Mus musculus: one gene and its partner. The protein of the gene in region 1 interacts with the protein of each later gene in a biochemical or structural test. Links are inferred from orthologs where the notes say so. Each region holds a gene or a part of one and is shown in the gene's direction. Other genes may lie near its edges.

What was found.
Region 2: the proteins of Txnip (region 1) and Slc2a1 form a complex in vitro, tested with the Homo sapiens proteins (2 studies listed by BioGRID). The link is inferred for Mus musculus from reciprocal best matches to the Homo sapiens genes TXNIP and SLC2A1.

Annotation. Positions count from the first base shown.
Region 1 is NC_000069.6:96,553,367-96,563,733, forward strand, and holds Txnip (thioredoxin-interacting protein), read left to right. Parts: upstream 1-4,590; 5' UTR 4,591-4,869; coding exon 4,870-5,119; intron 5,120-5,522; coding exon 5,523-5,598; intron 5,599-5,703; coding exon 5,704-5,851; intron 5,852-5,966; coding exon 5,967-6,069; intron 6,070-6,222; coding exon 6,223-6,479; intron 6,480-6,571; coding exon 6,572-6,728; intron 6,729-6,841; coding exon 6,842-6,993; intron 6,994-7,112; coding exon 7,113-7,163; 3' UTR 7,164-8,491; downstream 8,492-10,367. UniProt on the Homo sapiens protein: May act as an oxidative stress mediator by inhibiting thioredoxin activity or by limiting its bioavailability.
Region 2 is NC_000070.6:119,125,468-119,135,097, forward strand, and holds part of Slc2a1 (solute carrier family 2, facilitated glucose transporter member 1), read left to right. Parts: intron 1-4,820; exon of another isoform or gene 4,821-5,202; intron 5,203-5,455; exon of another isoform or gene 5,456-5,573; intron 5,574-5,730; exon of another isoform or gene 5,731-5,790; intron 5,791-6,102; exon of another isoform or gene 6,103-6,655; coding exon 6,656-6,816; intron 6,817-6,975; coding exon 6,976-7,216; intron 7,217-7,629; coding exon 7,630-7,792; intron 7,793-7,884; coding exon 7,885-8,072; intron 8,073-8,387; coding exon 8,388-8,492; intron 8,493-8,901; coding exon 8,902-9,003; intron 9,004-9,630. UniProt on the Homo sapiens protein: Facilitative glucose transporter, which is responsible for constitutive or basal glucose uptake. Has a very broad substrate specificity; can transport a wide range of aldoses including both pentoses and hexoses.

The DNA of each region.
Region 1 (10,367 bases):
TCACTTTGATGTCTTCTAAAAACACTGAAGAAAACTGACTGGAGCAGTGTGTCTCACCCTGTGGGCCTTGATCCCACGGGAGTTGTATAGCAGATATTTACATTACAATTAATAACAATAGCAAAATTACGGTTAGAAAGTAGCAATGAAATAACATAATGAGGAACTGCATTAGGGAGATTGAGAACCACTGCCTTCTCAGGAAAGGAAGGAGAGAGAAGCCAAACAGACATATCTGACTCAGGAGACTCCCTTTCGAGTCTCAAGCCGACTGGGTGCAGTGGCTGGGGTGCAGTGGCTGGGGTGCAGTGGCTGGGGTGCAGTGGCTGGGGTGCAGTGGCTGGGGTGCAGTGGCCGTGCTGGCAGTCAGGAGGCAGAAGCAGGAAGACCAGCCTCAACAGTGGGAAGCATGGGATTCCAGACAAGGTATTTATTTTATACAGGGGTCCCTTCTTGCCAGTCGTTGTTTGTTTTAGGTGCCCATGATGAATCCTCTAAACCTGGGACCGTCATCCTCAGAGCAAGCCCAGGAATGGCTCCAACCAGATATTTATTAGCTGGTTATCTGAGGGCGTGTCTTGCAACCAAACAAGGGAACTATTTAGAGTCCCCTTTAAATCTAAAACTCTGAGAGTCTTGCCCTGTATCCTTTCAATGCCATTGCAAAGATCAAACAAGGTACAAGTCAAAGCACCGAGAGGCAAGGCTCACATCTGTGCCTGGTGCCTGAGGAAGTATGGAACCTCCACGTGGGTGCTGGAAAACCAAACCTGGGTCCTCTGCAACAACAATTTCTCCTAACCACGGAGCTGCCTCTCCAGCCCATTGGGCCTCTTCTTTGCTTTTCATTCTCCATCTGTATATCATTCCTTTGTAAATAATATTAAATGTCTCACGACATAGCCCAGGCTAGTCCTGGAGTGGTGGCTCTCCTCTGCCTTACTCTCCCAGTACTGGAGTTACAAGAGTGAGTCACCTGCTTGCCTGGCACAGAACAGGTAGGCCTAGGATGAAGTTCTGGATGTACTTACAGAAACCTGTGACCTCGGGCAAATCACGGTGCCTTTCTGTGAGCCACTGGGTTATTGTGGGAACTAAATGAAATAATCCAACCTTAAATCCTGTTTAAAACGAGAAGGTAGCTGACTTTACAAATAAAATAGCATTGGCACAAGTGTGCTGATGAACCTCAGTTGGGAGAGGGCCGGCTTGCTCATTTAGTTCCAGTGCTGTGGAAGCAGAGACAGGGGCAGAAGAGGGCATCGGATCTCACTATAGATGGTTGTGAACCACCATGTGGTTGCTGGGGATTGAACTTAGGACCTCTGGAAGCTCTTAACTGCTGAGCCATCTCTCCAGCCCAAATCCTGTCTGTCTTTTTTTTTTAAAAAACAGGTTTGAGGTCATCCTTGGCTATTATAGCAAGTTTGGGGCCAGCCTGGGACACATGCAACCTTGTCCAAAAAAAAAAAAAAGTCTCTTTGAATTCTTTTTTTTTGGTTTTTCGAGACAGGGTTTCTCTGTATAGTAGTCTGGGTAGTCTCAAATCCCACAGACTCATTTCACAACCCCCACCCCTAAACTACCTTCTTAGGGAAAGACAGGAAAGAAGTAGGCAGATGAAGGAAAAGACATATTTTACAGTGATTAAGAAACCAAGCTGTTTTGCATCCCTAGCTCTGACTGTCTGCGGGGGCCAGAGGTGAGAGAATAAGGACCTGCAGGCCTGGCTTCACCTCCTGTGAAGGCTGCACTGCCAGCTTTGGCACCCGGTTGTCTAGAGTAAAACAAACACAGGACAAACATTCCTGGCTTCCTACTGGCGCTGAGACTGAACTTGCAAGCCTCTGCTCCCCCTGGGCACAGCTGTCCTTGTCCCTGAACCCACAGCCTCTGCCCTGTTTTTGTTTATAAGACTTTTTTTTCTTCCATCCAAGAACTGAGATGGGTACGTGCGTACATGTGCATGTGCGTGTGAGTGTGCGTGTGTGTGTGTGTGTGTGAGAGAGAGAGAGAGTGAAGAGGGACAAACTGCTATGAGAATACCAGGTGAAAGGTTATAAACAATCCACTCCAGGAGGCAGCCAATTCAGAACAAGCCTTGGCTATAGGCCCAGGAAGCAGCTGCCACTGCCAGAGTTAAACAGATTTTTGGCCTAACGCAGAACAAACAAGTGGTCTGTGCTGAGCGCCGCAAATTAAGAAACGATAGCCGTGCAGGGGACAGGACACAGAACTGTCCACAGGTTTTTCCTTAATTAAAGAATTCAATACTCCATAGACAACACCGAATAACTATCAGCATTGCCTCCAAGGAGACAGCCCAAGGCAGCACCCTCTCACCCCTTAGCAGCCTCCCCTCCTTCATCTGACCTCAAGGTTTAAAAACAAGAACTTTTTTACATTTAAATTTTTTATTTTGGGTGTCTCTGGAGTGACTACTGGAGAGGGGAAGGAGAGGGGAGGGGGAGAGGGGAGGTCAGAGTTGGTTCTTTTGCTACTGTGTGGGTTCTGCTATTGAACTCAGGTTGGCAGGCCTGGCACCATCTCTCTGGTTCTCCTGAAGTCTTATGTAGCTGGGGCTGAAGAGATGGCTTGGTGGTTGATAGTATCAGAGGAAACGAGTTCGAGTCCCAGAACCAAAAAACGGCAGCTCACAACTCTTAACTCCACTTCTAAGGCATCGGCGGACACCTGCAGCAAGCACACAGGTGGTAGAAGAAAATAACAGCCATATACTTACAAAATTTTTAAATCTTATGTTGCTACATACCACACTATTTAACAACATCGATATATGAACTTTCGGTATATTTTGATATTTCATACCATCAAGCTAAGGTTTTCTCAGATGCCTGCTACAGGCACTGAGAAACTGAAGTTAGTGAGCGACCTACCTCCCTTACAGTATTCATAAATACTGTTTATCGTTGGAAAACACCTGACGCCTAGTTAGTTAACTTTCTGGAACAAACACACCCTAAGGATCAAGGTGTTCCTAGGCCTTGGTGTTGTGTATATGTTTTTGAACCGTGTGATGTTCATCTCTGTGCTTGCTTAAGGTTCAGTTGTAACTTGTTAGCCTTAGGGTGTCAACCCAGTTAGGGCGCGCGGGGGTGGGGGCTGGGGGTGTTGTTTATGAACAGCGGTGAACAGGCATGCAATCGCTTTTTACTTCTCCATCTTAATCTCAGGGCTATATCATCTTTATTTTCCTGCGCAAGGAAGGAGATAGATAGTCTCCTAATAATTCTGCCCAAATATGGAAGGAGTTTAGGACTCAATGACAAGGCTCCGGCGCGGGGTGGGGGTGGGGGTGGGAGTGGGTGGGTGGGTGGGGAATAGAGTAGGGGGCGAAGGGGGAGGGGGTTGCAGGTAATCCTTCACACAAGAGTTTCTTTGCACACTTAAGAGTTATTTCTCTAGTCAGCTCCTGAGGCATCTCTCAGCAAGGTTTGCCAGATAACTAAGTGAAACTAACACAGCTCCAGCGCCGGTGAAATTGAAACAGGCTTAGGGACATGCATTTCATTTAGTGAATTTGGAGAGAGGACAGAGGGGGGAAAAGAATGACAGGAACTCGAAAACAAAGTAAGGAGTGAGGTTCTTTTTCTTCCTTTTTCTTTCTTTCTTTTATTTTATTTTTTTGGTTTGTCCACCTCTTGTTTCCTGGAGAAACAAGGACGGGGGAGCCATCAGTGTGAAAGTAAACACCTCACAAAGCTGCAGTGAGGAACAAGGGAACATATACAAAATGTTCCCCAACTTCACAGGTACACTGAAGAGATGAGGGGATAAGCAACAGGATGTGGACACTCCCTTACTGCTTCCGCTCCAGAGAACAGAATAGAATGTAATGGGCGAGGAACAGTAGCAGCACATAGGGGCATGAAATGAGGGGGAAATGAGGGGAACCCACCAGAGCATTCACCAGAAAGGACTGAAAGCCAGACTTTAAAATATCTGACAAGTTCTCGTCTGGAGAGACCGCAGCCTTTTATTCTTCAATAGAAGTGCAATAGGAGCATATCGGGTGGGCTCTTTCTCACTAACACGACTGCACTCTCGCCCTCCGCTCCATCCTGGAGTATCCTCGGTGCGATGGGATTGTTTTTCACAAGACTTGCGAACTTGTGAGCCAGGAATAAATGGTCACCTCGAAATGAATTGCGCTGGCTCAGGCGAGTCATGAAATCCTCTCCTAAGCACATTTTTCTTTCACCTAAAAAAAGAAGGGGGAAAAAAAAAACAAAGCACACACCCAAATAACCCAGCTCCCAAGAGGAGTCCCCTGGATGAGGTTCAGGGTCCCGGGGTCCCAGCCTCCCGGGGGGAGGGAGGGCACCCGTCGCCCCGGGCCCCGCCCCTCCTGCTGGCAAGGCTGCGCACCCGAACAACAACCATTTTCCCCGCTAGGAGCACACCGTGTCCACGCGCCCCGGCGGCCTCGCTGATTGGTTGGAGGCCTGGTAAACAAGGGCCAAGTAGCCAATGGGAGAACTGTGCACGAGGGCTGCACGAGCCTCCAGGCCAGCACTCGCGTGGAGCGCCAAGCCAGGCGGCTATATAAGCCGTTTCCGGCAGCCGCTTGACACTCTCCTCCTCTGGTCTCGGGGTTTCCAGAGTTTCTCCAGTTGCGGAAGACAGCTGTTATTTTTCTCCTGAAAGCTTTTGGCACAGCCGGCAGGCTGAAACTTCCAGGCACCTTTTGGAAAAGTTGTTAGGGTTTGTTTGAAGCTTTCTTTACATTTTCGTTTGGGTTTTCAAGCCCTGACTTTACGGAGGCGAGCTCTTCGTTTGCTTTGAAGGGTTCTTAAAGATTTTTTTCCTCTCCGGCTTTCGTTTTTCTTGAACCCACTCGGCTCAATCATGGTGATGTTCAAGAAGATCAAGTCTTTTGAGGTGGTCTTCAACGACCCCGAGAAGGTGTACGGCAGCGGGGAGAAGGTGGCCGGACGGGTAATAGTGGAAGTGTGTGAAGTTACCCGAGTCAAAGCCGTCAGGATCCTGGCTTGCGGCGTGGCCAAGGTCCTGTGGATGCAAGGGTCTCAGCAGTGCAAACAGACTTTGGACTACTTGCGCTATGAAGACACACTTCTCCTAGAAGAGCAGCCTACAGGTACTGCTCCCAGCAGGACTGATGGTGACTTGGGAGGTCTGTGGGTCGGGGAGGGCACCACTAAATGTTTCGAGTTGTTCGTTTGAATGGTTTGAACTGTTGGTCCCTATATTTTTTTACTTTGTAATTAGCAAGTTTTTCACTACCCTTCACCCCCCTAGAGTGATTTGAACACTTTCTGAGGTACTGTTTCCTGAAAGTGTTGTCTTAGCTACTACTTAAAGATTAATGTATTTGTGGATTTCGCAACTTTCTGTCCAAGAAAGTGCTCTGGGATCTTTTCTTCCATAGTGTAAGAGATGAAAGTGGAAGTGAAGTAAGGTAGTCTACTGCCCAGGCACTCCTCATTGACGCTTTCAAAATGTAACAAGAAGCCTAATGGCCCCTTGTCTTTGTTTCCCAGCAGGTGAGAACGAGATGGTGATCATGAGGCCTGGAAACAAATATGAGTACAAGTTCGGCTTCGAGCTTCCTCAAGGGTAGGCATCCACCGTGTGCACCTTGCACTCTTATTTCTAAGTCTTCCCCCTCCATTGATCTCTTACAGTTCTTAGCCTTAATTTTGGTTCATTGTTTTGACACAGGCCCCTGGGAACATCCTTTAAAGGAAAATATGGTTGCGTAGACTACTGGGTGAAGGCTTTTCTCGATCGCCCCAGCCAGCCAACTCAAGAGGCAAAGAAAAACTTCGAAGTGATGGATCTAGTGGATGTCAATACCCCTGACCTAATGGTGAGGATTTTTTGTTTTTGTTTTTAAAAAGGTTTTAAAATTCTTCTTGGTCAGGGATAATAAATTAGATGCATGGGGGTTGAAATATCTCAAAACATTATTTCCTTTTACACAGGCACCAGTGTCTGCCAAAAAGGAGAAGAAAGTTTCCTGCATGTTCATTCCTGATGGACGTGTGTCAGTCTCTGCTCGAATTGACAGAAAAGGATTCTGTGAAGGTAAAAACATACTGCTTCAAATGCTAGACAGGATAGCCAGAACTGGGGGTGGGGGGGTTGGGGGTGGTACGGAGAGGGTCGTAGGGTAGAGGCAGAGGAAGTGCTGTTAACTTGCATGGCTATTCATACTTCCTCATTTTATTTTAACTCTAGGTGATGACATCTCCATCCATGCTGACTTTGAGAACACGTGTTCCCGAATCGTGGTCCCCAAAGCGGCTATTGTGGCCCGACACACTTACCTTGCCAATGGCCAGACCAAAGTGTTCACTCAGAAGCTGTCCTCAGTCAGAGGCAATCACATTATCTCAGGGACTTGCGCATCGTGGCGTGGCAAGAGCCTCAGAGTGCAGAAGATCAGACCATCCATCCTGGGCTGCAACATCCTCAAAGTCGAATACTCCTTGCTGGTGAGTGGGTGAGAAGAGAGACAATTACCTGGTTACAAATTCAGTGCTTTCTGTACTCAACCCATCTAACAAACTGCCATCCTCCTCTCTAGATCTACGTCAGTGTCCCTGGCTCCAAGAAAGTCATCCTTGATCTGCCCCTAGTGATTGGCAGCAGGTCTGGTCTGAGCAGCCGGACATCCAGCATGGCCAGCCGGACGAGCTCTGAGATGAGCTGGATAGACCTAAACATCCCAGATACCCCAGAAGGTAAGCTGCAGCCGGATAGGTTCGAGTTATTTTGATCTGCTTGGGCTTGTGGAGTTGGGGTGACCTGGCATTTATTTCTTAGTCGGACTTCTGACACCGTTTTCTCTCTTCAGCTCCTCCTTGCTATATGGACATCATTCCTGAAGATCACAGACTAGAGAGCCCCACCACCCCTCTGCTGGACGATGTGGACGACTCTCAAGACAGCCCTATCTTTATGTACGCCCCTGAGTTCCAGTTCATGCCCCCACCCACTTACACTGAGGTGAGAACTGCTATTCTCACAGGGTCAACATTTTGTCCTAGGCCTTTTGAAGGAAGGGTTAATGTGGGTTTTCTACTTAACTAAAAAACCTGAAAATTTCCTCTCTATTCCCCTTCCAGGTGGATCCGTGCGTCCTTAACAACAACAACAACAACAACAACGTGCAGTGAGCCTGCAGGAAATGAAGCATCTGTATTAGCGCATTTCTTTCTGCCTCTCTGCTTGAACTCCAGTGTTTCAGAGACTCAGTCTCTACAGCGGGGAACGGGTACACCCCAGCCGCTGACTCCTCAAGATGGGTGGCAATCAGTAGGCGGGTCTCCGGCTTCAAGTGGTGCAGACCAGTGCCCGCACTGTGGCATAGGAGTGTTTGCTGGGTGGATGTCAGAACACTCTTAGAAAAATTGAGACCTGACCACTTTCTCGGATGTTGGAAATGAAGAACTTGTTTGTGTTGACTGAGTCAGGGCACTGCTGACCTTCTGGCGTTGTCTTTCCAAGGTTTTTGTTTTAAAGGGACTTTTAAATTGTCTAAAATATCAGTAGACCATCATCTGTGCCATGGGGGACAGAGCCAATTTCAAGTCATGGCCAAAATTTTGTAAGAGGAGTGTTTTTGTGTGTTTTTTAAAGTCAGTGTTCCTTTTTTATATCTTTACAAAGAAAAGACCTTCCACGGCTGGTGAGCACGCAGCCTGTGAAATTCGGGGCAGCTGCTCCAAGTTGACTTCACCCTGGGAGCAGTAGTAGCTGTGCCCACTGACGGCCATAAAAGCCATTTTACAGCCAGTTGCACTGTGTTCTCTTGTAAGCATAATCAGATGGGAGAATCTGTTATTTCCCTGTAACCCCTTGGAATTGATTCTAAGGTGATGTTCTTAGCACTTTAGCTTGTCAATTTTGTTTTAGTCTCCGTTATAGATGTAAGCTCCACCAGTCTCTTAAGGATTAAGCCCAGTGACTTGGAGGGTGGGGGTTAGGGTCTCTATCCCTGAACATTGTAGACCCAGGCTGGCCTGAGAGATCCACCTGCCTCTGCCTCCTGAGTGCTGCGATCAAAGGCCCAGCTTGGTTATTGCTTTTGAGGCTTTCTCCCAACGCACAGACTTGTGTAATTCTAACACTAATCCTGTGAAGGGTTGTGGTTGACAGCTGGAGCCTGGGTGACATTCTACATTGAGATGCCCCAGCACTGATCGGGGCACAGAAGCCCCCAGACCCCATTTCCTGTCCAGTGTTGGGAGAAAGTGCTGCTTTCACTGTGGCCTCAGCCCTGGCTCGGAAGCTCACTAAGCCTTAGCACTTTGTCCTGTGTCAGCTCCACCTGAGAACTGTGCAGCCAGAATGTCTGCGAGCTGATGGAGGTTTCGGTTTTGTTGTTTTTGTATTTTGTGTATCTTTTTGTATGATTAAAAACTATATTTTCTACTTATCCAAATATATTTTCACCCCAAAGTGGGGTTATCCTTTGTAAAAAAAAATAAAGTTTTTTAATGACAAAAATAAATGTTCTTTTCTTGTCTATGAGATACTGGAGAAGTTACTAGAAAGTGTTCCCCTGTCTCAATACTGAAAGCCCGTGGAGAGAGAAGTCTCTTGACGCTGAGTGACATAACGGCTGGTTTGGCCTCTGTTCAGACGGAGGAATCCGTAGGGTCTGGTAGTAGAAGCTAATTAACCACGTCCATAGTCAGAAAACTCCTTCAGGATCAGGCTTGCTCCTGGGACTGAGGATAGCCTTGAACCTCTGGTGCAGCCATCAAGAGCACGCAGTGTCATGCTCAGGTTTTCATAGTTTGTGTGTGTGAATGCAGGTGGGAATGTGGTGCTTAGAACCCACCTTGCAAAAGTCAGCTCCACTTTGTGGGACCCTGAGACCAGGACCTCAGGCTTCGCAGAAAGCGTCTTTTACTGCTGAGCCATCTCTGAGCCCAGTTCTCTGCCCTGTTTATGAATTCTTTAAAAATAACTAAGGGGATTTGGAAGGGACAGGGTGAGATTTTTATTTTTGTTAAATCCAAATGAGCAGCTTTTGTTTACACAAACGCAGGGAGGATGTGGGGAAAAGGGACTGGGAGATTAATGTGAGGGAAATTAAATGGGTGTTTGCTCAGATGGGAGGCAGGAAGCAGTCCTGGTGTGCTCCGGTGGATCTGATGTTCCCTAAAGCTCAGCAGACAGTCCAGAGTGAGAATGGGTTCTGACTGGCAGAGGCCTCAGCCCACCCTACCCCAAAACAGGATGACTGGTGGCAATGGAGTTTTTGGTTTGGTTTGAGACAAGTTCAGGCTAGCCTTAACCTGGAAGCAATCTGGCTCAGCCTCCCGAGCACTGGGGTTAGAAGACCACGGTCTCATTCATCACTTGGTTTTTATTGAGAATTCCCCCAATATAAACTTGGTTTATAAGCTGCAAAGAGGAACTATTTCAGACTTGGTTTTAGTTACAGGGATTAAATGTTTTAGAAGCAGCTACAGTTTTCTGTCTTTATAGATTATTGTGTTTTTTGAGACAGGGTTTCTCTGTAGTCCTGCTCTGTAGATCAGGCTAACCCCAAACTCAGAGATCCACTTTCCTCTGTCCCCCGAATGCTGGGATTAGCGTTTACCACCACAGCCTGACTCTTTACAGTTCTCAACGTATAATTAGAATTCAGTGTCTACCCTGATTCCTTGGGACCTGTTTTGGAATTTTCTATTTCTTAGAAGGGTATTGATGACTGATAAACCATTTCACTGCTAACTGAAGTTATTTTGTTCAGGAAAAAGCTACACACATGAGAAACAAAGATGGCAGAATACATCACACCATTCTTTCTGGTTTTTGGTTCATCTAAATGTTTTTCGTCAAAATGGGTTTTCCATAGCTCTCCACACACCAGTACACTCTCTGAAGCACTGTATTAGAAACCAAGGGGAGGCTCGCTGTGGTCATGCACACCTAAAACCCAGCATTTGAGAGGCAAAAGCAGGAGGATTGCCAAGAATTCAAGACAGCCTTGGCCACAGGTACCGCCAGGTCTGCTAGGGCTACAGAGCAAGCACTTTTATCCCCCAAACAAACCACAAAACCACACATCACACAAAAAAAGCTGTGAACACAGAACTGAACAGAAATTGAAAAAAAAAGAAATCCTTTTCTGCGCTAGTAATTGATCTTTATCATTCATTCGCTATAGCGCACCTGTCACTTTCCTGCCTCACTGGCGCACGCCTTTAATCCCAGCACTCGGGAGGCAGAGGCAGGCAGATTTCTAAGGTCAAGGCCAGCCTGGTCTACAAAGTGAGTTCCAGGACAGCCAGGGCTACACAGAGAAACCCTGTCTCAAAAAAACAAAAACAAACAAACAAAAAATAAAATAAACAATAAAACAT
Region 2 (9,630 bases), on another chromosome or scaffold:
CCCCTCTCTCTCCCTCTTACTGTCCCCCTTCCCCTCCCTCTCCCTCGTGTCCTTCCCTCTCCCTGCCTCTCCCTCTCCTTCCCTCTCCCTCTCCTTTCTTTCTTCCCCTACTTCTGTCCCTGGACCCTTGCTCACACTTGTTGCACTGCTGGCCCACTCCCACTGTGCTGAGCTCAGAGCTGAGTCAAGTCCGGTCATGTACAGATCTATCTCAAGAACTTCCCACACAATAGTTACGCAATTCCTCACGCCGTCACAGCCCGTCATTGCAAGCCCCCCCTTGTTCCCTGCACCCAGCAGCAGTGACACTCAAATCAGACCATGTTGAAGTCTGCTCTTGATCATAGTGTCTTCTAGTCAGCTGTTCAAAGACCGCAATAGAAACATGGACGGGCACAGTAGGGCAGAGGTGGCAGTTGGCCCTAATGATGTTTTTCAACCTTAGCACCACGGGTACTTTGCACTGGACAGCCCTTTGGTATTTATTGTGATGGGCTGTCCTGTATTCAGTAGTAGGATGCCAGCAGCCAGTGTGACCGCAGGCACTGTAGACATACTTTGATGGAGGAGGGGTGCTGGCCAGGGGAACTTCCCAGAGGGGAACTGCATTCCCTGAAAGGTGATCAAATAGAAGGAAAGAGCAGTCTGAGATGTGGGTGTTACTGTCTGCCCAGAGGATATGAGTCAGAGTGCTGCTGAAGAAACTCTTCATCCTGAGGGCTGAGGTGGCCCTGGCTGCTGGGCTGCCACAGTGAGGTGAAGCTCTCTCTGTGTCTGTGTGAGAAGCCCCTCCAGGCTGTAGAGCAGGGAAGGGACCCACTAGCCAGGGCAGAGAGGCCTGTCCTTGGTGAGGAAGAAGACCAATTCTAGACTCTGAAGCATCCTTCACTGCTGCTGCTGCTCTCAGCTTTAACCTGAGCCTCTTCCTTTAGGTTTCAGAGGGGGCTCTGGAGATGCAGCGGGTGGGACTGTCCAGCCCCACCTGCAACATCTGGCCCTGGGTTCATAGCTGACTCTCAGGTGTGGTTGCACTGTTATAGAGACATCTGAGCTCTGGGCTGAGCTGAGGGAAAGAGGTTCAGGGGCCTAGCAAAGATGAGAGGCTGGGAGTACGGGTCAAGACCAGACTGAGAGACAGCTGGACAATTTGACCCTTTCCTCCTTGTAAGAGAGAGGGAAGATGGTGGGCCTATAAGAAGGGCCATATCCCCACAGAACATGGGGGAAGAGCTGAGGGGATCACTCTGGGATGGGAGAGAAGATTCAGGCCCGGAAGCAGAATATCCAAGGATAGGTACTGGGAGGAGCCAGAGGTCCCCAAACACAGCTCTGCCGCAGTCTCAAATCCTGGGTCAGTTCAGCAGGGTGGCCAGGCTAGCCAGCACCCCATGTGGCCTGTAAGCCTTTCACATGTTGAAAGGGTTGAAAGAAAAGCAAGTGACAGAGGCTGTATGTGGCTTCAGACTTAGCCTTCCTATGAATGTTTCCTCACATGGCTCTGGGTCACTCACCCTTCCTGAGGTGGGGGAGCCACTTATCAAAAACCCAAGAGCCCAGGGCTTCTGCTCTCGGGGGCCACAGAACCTTAGGGTTTCTGAGTCAAGCCCTAGTTCCCTCAGGTTCTTCTTGCCCCATATAGCTTACATAGCCCCTGGCAATGTAAGCCGGGAACCCTATCTCAGTGCTCCCCTGTGGTTTAGGGTTTTTGGTTTTTGTTTTTAATTTTGATTGTTTTTGCTGCTCTGAGGCTTGAGCAGAGGTCCTGGTGTGCTAAGTGGTCACACCTTAGGTCACACCTTAGATCCCCTCCCTCTTGCTTCTCTCTGAAAGGTGGCTTCTCTCCTGGGGAGCACAAATGGCATCAATAACGCCTTATTCTGTGAGCAGGCTACGTGTTCTGCCTCACATCCCTTTACAGACACCACCCTGCCACCACAGAGAGGAAGTGCTCACTTCCTCTGTAGAGAGCAGGCATCGCACACACAGTTGCCTGGGTCTTAGGATTTCCAAGAAGCTCTTGGGCATGTGCAGGTCCCCCGCCTCACTAAGGGAACAGGTAGTGTGGAGTAGCTCTTTTTTGCAAGCTGTCCCAGCCCAGGGACCTCAGCTGCACAGAGCCAACGCACTTCCCATGAGTGTGGTCAAGGAAGCCCGAGTACCCTCTGCACTAACAGAGCATCTCTAAGATGTCAGCCCTCGTGACAGGCCAACTCCACAACAGATCTTTCAACTGATTAGCTCTTTCCCTATCTCATCAGCATGAACCCAGGAAGAAATGGTTTCACGTTTTATTTTTGTTTTGTTATTTTACATTTGGAGGGCGTTTTGCCTGCATACATGTCGGCACCACGTGCTCATGGAGGCTCAAAAAGAGCATGAGGTCCCTAGACTTGGGATTGCAGGTGGCTGTGAGCTGCCATTGGGTGCTGGGAACAGAATCTGCAAGAGATGTCAGGTTGCATCACAGCTCCAGCCCAGTGGTTCTACACTGTAAAAGGATTCTCTGAAAAGCAAGTGCGAGCCATGTGTGGCTCCAGCCCTTCCCAGGAGGCCTGTTGAACCCAGACTGTCGCCTCTAACTGGTCTAGGTCAGTTTGCTTCAGATGTTCCCTACAAGGAAGAGTGGAGGACTGTGCTAGTTCATTACCCATGTAAAGGCATTGCTTTGGGGGTGAAAGACTGCAACAGAACACAGAACACAGGAGGGACCTAGGACAGATGCCACACAGCACAGGAGACTGGTGGGAAGGCACATTCAGCAGACCTGGGACGTTTGGGTTGGGCACAGTGGCAGCGTCAGGGATAACATTTGGGCTTGTGATTGGCACAAGGGGTAGGACAGGCAGCTACCGCTGGGATCCTATGAGGGGAGTAGTCAGCAGGCATTCTGTCCCTGCAGGACACCTTTCTCCCAGATGGACACTGAGGGCAGTAGCTGGATGGAACAGGTGGCCCTAGAACTTTTCCCCCATAGAGAATTCTCTGGATTCTCTGGGGCTGCTCTGTCTTCCCTGAGCCAGTGTGAGCTTGGAGCCTCATGTGAACCTTACAGAAGGAGTCTCAGAGCAGCAGGACTGGAAAGCCAGGCTCAGACAGTATTCCTGATTCTGATAGGAAGCCCACTGCTCAGCCTCTGCTGTCCCTGAGCCTGGGTGGGACCGCTGTTACAGTATAGGAAGCTGGTGCCCGTGCTGCCCGGCAGAGGACTCGGCAACAGAGAGGAAGGAGCGGGAGAGTGAGCTTTGGCTCACTGCTGACAACCCAGGCCAGCAGCTTCCCTGCATGTGGGTGGGAGAGGTTGGGAGCACCTTATCACTTCGCTGCTTCTGTGAGGAAAGCTAAAGACCTGAGCTGGAGGAAGAGAGAGAGGCTCAGTGCTCGCCCTTAAGTTCATGCAGGCAGCTTCTCTTCAGTCTTAGCTGACTTACTCTGCACAGATCTACCATTTGCACACAGTTCAAGTAAGCTCCATTAGCCAGTTTCAAAAAAGTATTTTTTAATCAATTGCGATGGCATATGCCTTTAGTCCCAAGTACTTGGGAGGCAGGGGCAAGCAGATCTCTGAGTTCAAGGACAGCCTGGTGTCTGTATAGAGAATTTCAGTACAGCCAGTGCTACATAGAGAGACCCTATCTCAAAAATTTTTTATGTGTATGAGTGTTTTGCCTACAGGGAAAGGCCCCCATTACCGTTCAATTCTGCTTGTGGGTCTATTTGGTCACCCTGTACAACCAAAGGGAAGGAGCCCCAGTTCCCAGCTCTGGGCCCTGGAGAAGCACTTTTTATCTCTGCAGCTTCTTATTCAGAACAGCCTGTCCCCTACAGAGCCTGATAAATGGGACCTTGCCTTTCCAGCAGCTCTCTGGGCTGTGTGTCCCTTGAAGAACACAAGCACTTTGTTTTGCTTGTCCAACTTGGCCCAGTCTCTGACCCCTGTAGGACCAAGGTTTTCTAGAAGAGAGCCTAAGACCCTTTGTTGACTCAAGGTACCCCTACCACTGGCTCTGGCCCCTGGCCTGGGCTGGATCTCAGAGGCAGGAGTGGTAGCAGGGATGGGATGTAAACTGGAAGATGGCCATCGGAGCAGGGACTGAATGGGGCATGACCCTCTCTGTGGAATTTTGTCAGGAGGATGTAGTCAGACTTTGACAGTGGTTTTCAATGAACTGGGTCCAGTACTGTGTGGTAGGTACCATAAGTATGTTTCCTCAGTTTCCTCTAGCACTGTAGAGGAAGCAGTCATGGGCCACATAAAGACTTTTCAGTGACAGACGGTATGTACAGAATGGCTATCCTGTAATACCATAACAGCTGGAAAGTAGCTCAGTGGTAGAGCATATGACCAGCATGTGCAAGGCCCTGAGTTTATCCCCAGCACTGCAAAACAAAGCCATGTAGAAAATAGCTCTGTGATCTAGCAACATTGGCATAACAGCGTTACTCATAGGTCTGTAAACCTACCCACCGTGCTGCCAGGCATAAAAGTTTAGCACAAGGCTAAACAGGCAAGCACTAGAGCCCTTGTCTAGTGTACCCAGGATCCCAAATTTAGTCTTCACTACAACAGAAACAACATGTTTAGCATGCACGGTCATGTTCAAAAAGTACCATATATGCTGATGACAGTAATGGCTGGAGGGATGGCTCAGGGGTGCAGAGCACGATTTTCTTGCAGAGAACTTAGGTTTAGTTCCTAGTACCCAAACTAGGCAGCTGCCAACTTCTTATACCTCCAGCCCTGGGACATCTGACACCCCCTTTTGGCCCACATGAGCACCTGTACTCAGGTGCACATAACCCACATACAGATATACACATGATTTAGAATAAAACTTTTAATAATTATAAGATGGTAATAGACATAGCCATTATTAGTTTATTGGGTATATTTTTATCATAATTTCCCAGTGAGTTCCTTCTGCATACTAGAACAGTTTGCCCTGAAACACCCTTCTGGGTTACATGCCAGCATCCTGGCGTGTCTCATGTTTGCCATCCCTTAATTGCATCAAGAGCCCTGAGTGGCCCACAGCATTTAGTTTTATTCCAAATGCACTCTGATGTTCGTACAGTGGAATCACCTAATAACACATTTCTCAGAATGGGCCCCCTTTAAGTGATGCATAAGCACAATGCTGAAGTCGGCATTAGAGAAGAGGCGGTTGGAGCTCACGGCTGCTCACAGTGAGTGCCCACAGTCAGCTGGGAGCAAAGGAGTGACCTGGGATTAGAACTCATTACGTTTCCATTCAGAACTAGCTGCTGAGCCCTGCACTGTCTGGCTTCCCTTGTATAGCAGGTGCTTAGGCCACCTTTTCCCAGTCTGTTCTAAGCCTGAGCCTGGCTCCGTCTCTGGACTTGACACACAAATCATGATGACCAAGCAGGGGTAAAGATGATGAGGGACGAGGGCCGCCCCACTCCCACACACTTACCTTGGCAAAGTGCTGCTCACCTTTCCTTTCTGCACCTATTCCTTTCTGCTGCACTTGAGGGTGTAGATCAGGACTGGAAATGGAATGGCTGTGAAGAGACGATGTGCAGTTCCATGCTCAGGAGCTTGCCGTGTGCACCTGGGAGGGAATGGCTTGTGTGAGAGCTGCAGGTGATAAGGGGTGTGTGTGTGTGTGTGTGTGTGTGTGTGTGTGTGTGTGTGTGTGTGTGTGAGAGAGAGACTGGCCGAAACCCAGAGCCTTGTGAGTACAATATGATCCAGGCACAGTCACTCACATTTATAATCCTAACATTCAAAAGGCTGAGGCTGGAGGGTTGCTGTGAGTTCCTGAGACCCTGTTTCAAAGAAAGAAGAAGTGAAGTGAAATAAAAGCTCTGCCCTGTCATGACAGGGTGTGGACCTAGAAAGTTGGTTCCCCATGTGTACTTGGGCTTGTCCGTGGTACATGTGTGCTGGGTGGGTCTGGCTAGGCTGTGGCACTGGGTGTTGTCCGTGTTGCCTGACAGTGTGGTGAGTGTGTCAGAACCAGTGCCACCTGCCCATGGCTATATCCTTGGCACCAGGTTAGGCCCTCTGGTGTGGGGGCAGGGCTAGAGAGCAGGCCCACACCAGGACAGATTCTCCAGTTCCTAGAACTACTTCCTTGCCTGGGGCCTTTCCCTGATCATCAGCTGAGCACCTGGAAAAGAAAAGAGGCGGTGGCTTCTTCAGGTGGCATTTCCAGCCAGCCACAGGGGAACTGGGCCTGGAAGACAGAAGTGACAGTGTGCTTTAGAGCGTGTCCTTAGTCCTGCAGGCTCAAACTGCAGAGTCAGTGAGTGCGCACTTCGTCAGGCTCGCAGGATGCATAACCTGTCTGCCTAGCTGTGCTTCCTCCTCAGCAGGGGGTCGGGGCAGGGCCCAGGGCCTACAGCTGTGGCCTAGAGTATGTTGAGAGCCATCTGGAAGGGGGCAGATAGGCAGAAGGAGCATTTTCTTCCCTGTGCCTTGCTGCTCTGTCCTCCTTGGCCACCATCCTCAGAGTCTTGACCACCTTAGGAGAGGGGGAGAGCCCAGTCCTCTTTTCGTCCGGAGAAACTGAACCTATGTAAAGCGGAGAAGGGGCCTGGCTGGAGAGCACTGTGAGGACGTTTGCAGCAGAGCCAAGCCCTGGCGATATGGTGAGACAGTAGCCACCTACCCAGGCCCTTCTCCCTGCAGGTTATTGAGGAGTTCTACAATCAAACATGGAACCACCGCTACGGAGAGCCCATCCCATCCACCACACTCACCACGCTTTGGTCTCTCTCCGTGGCCATCTTCTCTGTCGGGGGCATGATTGGTTCCTTCTCTGTCGGCCTCTTTGTTAATCGCTTTGGCAGGTAAGCAAGAAAGGCTCCAGCCCTGCCTTGGGGAGCCTGTGTCATCCTGTCTGGGGAGTTCTGGGGGAAGGTGGGGTGGCAGAAACATCCCTGACTATGGCCTCATTCCTGGGAAGTCTGGGGGTCCCGGGAGCTGGCTGACCTGTGACCCATCCTCAGGCGGAACTCCATGCTGATGATGAACCTGTTGGCCTTTGTGGCTGCTGTGCTTATGGGCTTCTCCAAACTGGGCAAGTCCTTTGAGATGCTGATCCTGGGCCGCTTCATCATCGGTGTGTACTGCGGCCTGACTACTGGCTTTGTGCCCATGTATGTGGGAGAGGTGTCACCTACAGCTCTACGTGGAGCCCTAGGCACACTGCACCAGCTGGGAATCGTCGTTGGCATCCTTATTGCCCAGGTAAGCCAGTTCTGGGTCTACCTGCTGCCCAGCCTAGGACAACCTCATGGTAGACAGATCCCAGAGCACAGTGACCCCCAGACCCACAGCCTACAAGAGCCCTTGGCCTTCACCTGGGCTTCCAGGCCTAGAAGCCTTCATGAGCATGGCACTCCTCTCCTGGAGGATCCTCCATCTTTTACTCCTATAGCTGAGTAGCAACCCCCACATGCTGTGCCGGGCACACTTATATGTGGCGTTGTCCCTTGCTTGTCCTTTATAGTTTGAGCTGGTTTTGCAGGTGAGGGAACAAGAAAGGTCCTTCCCTCCCCCAGCAGCCGGTGGGCAGACAGGGACAGCCCGCTTGGTGGCTGGGATGGATACTGGAGTAGGGCCAGGGCAGGGCACTCACAGTCCCTGGTTTCTTTGTCCAGGTGTTTGGCTTAGACTCCATCATGGGCAATGCAGACTTGTGGCCTCTGCTGCTCAGTGTCATCTTCATCCCAGCCCTGCTACAGTGTATCCTGTTGCCCTTCTGCCCCGAGAGCCCCCGCTTCCTGCTCATCAATCGTAACGAGGAGAACCGGGCCAAGAGTGGTACGGGCTGGGCCCTGCCCTCCTCCCTCTCCCCCTGAGCTCGGGCCTTTTCCCCACTCTGAGCCATCCCACCTTCCCTCTGGTCCCACCAGTGCTGAAGAAGCTTCGAGGGACAGCCGATGTGACCCGAGACCTGCAGGAGATGAAAGAAGAGGGTCGGCAGATGATGCGGGAGAAGAAGGTCACCATCTTGGAGCTGTTCCGCTCACCCGCCTACCGCCAGCCCATCCTCATCGCTGTGGTGCTGCAGCTGTCCCAGCAGCTGTCGGGTATCAATGCTGTGAGTACCCCACCTACCCCTTCCTGTGGCCCCAGCCAAGTCCAGGCTCAAGTGTGCACCGCGAGTGAGTCCTGAGGGAAATACTAAGTTCTTCCCGTGGGTACACAAAGCAGTGTACCTGTGGAGCCAAAACCTGCAGCAGTATCCACCTGCCTGGGAAGTGTTGATCCCCCATGCCCCAACACACACACACACACACACACACACACACACACACACACACTCACCTTGGGTCCCACACCTACTTGTAACTAGTACAGAGGAAGGAGAAGGCCATAAGCATGGAGGATCTCCAATGATCTCCCTTTCTGGCAGGTGTTCTACTACTCAACGAGCATCTTCGAGAAGGCAGGTGTGCAGCAGCCTGTGTACGCCACCATCGGCTCCGGTATCGTCAACACGGCCTTCACTGTGGTGTCGGTGAGTCTCGCTTTTGGTCGGCAGCCAGGGTCCAGTTCAGGGCATCAGGACAGAATGGCAGCCTGTTGTGGGAGCCAGACTTAATGTCAGTAAACGTGTGAGGCTCATTACTCACCCCGTGCAGCTGTCACAGATGCTCAGGGAGGTGAGAAGGCAAGAGCTCTCCCAAGCTCACAGCCTGTGTGCATTAGCTCTCTGATCACCAGTACCTTTCACCCTGGTACTGTTGGGCTCAGAGGCATATTCCTTCCCTCGGTCCCTACAAGGCCCCCAAGCTTCAGCCTGGTGGGGAGAGGTATTTCCCCCACTAGTGTATGTATTTCCTTGTATTTAGCTATTGAGGTGAGCCTCTGGGCAGGTGGCTCCAAGAGGCACCAGGCTGAGAACATGTCTTTCTCCTTGCCCACAGCTGTTTGTTGTAGAGCGAGCTGGACGACGGACCCTGCACCTCATTGGCCTGGCTGGCATGGCAGGCTGTGCTGTGCTCATGACCATCGCCCTGGCCTTGCTGGTGAGTGGCTGTGCCCTGGAAGGCCCAGTGCAAGGTAGAGTGGGGACCTGGATTGAGGCACACCGGGCATGTACAAGGTGCCATGGCTGTAGATTATACCTGGATTTAGATCCCAAATAAATACCCATGTTGCACCCAGCCTCGGTTGCCCCATGTCAGTGTGCCCCTGGACTGGGCCTGACCTCTGCTTCTCAGGTTGTTTCCTCCCATCTCGATCTTTCTCTTCCCTGCCTGGGGATTTCCTGCACATGTAGACAGACCCAAGCTCCATATGGAAATGCCTCTCCTGAAGCTGAACCTTACAGAGCCTTTACCTAGAAAGCCTCAGTTCATCTCCAGAGCAACCTTCAGTGGACAGTGGTCCCCTTACTGCCACAGAGGTGCACAAACACGCCTGTCTCCATTCTCCAAACTAGGAACTGTGATGTTAGTTTTTACAGCTTGAGCTTCTCTGAAGTGCTCAACCAGATTTGTGAATATCTGCATATATTCAGTGAGTTACTTTCAGATTAGGACTCAAGTCTAAAAGTAGAATTCATTTGTTTCATATGTGCCTTCCACACATGGTATGTTTATCATGTCTGTATTTTGACTGGCATCAGACGTGGTCAGGTAGACTTTTCCCTC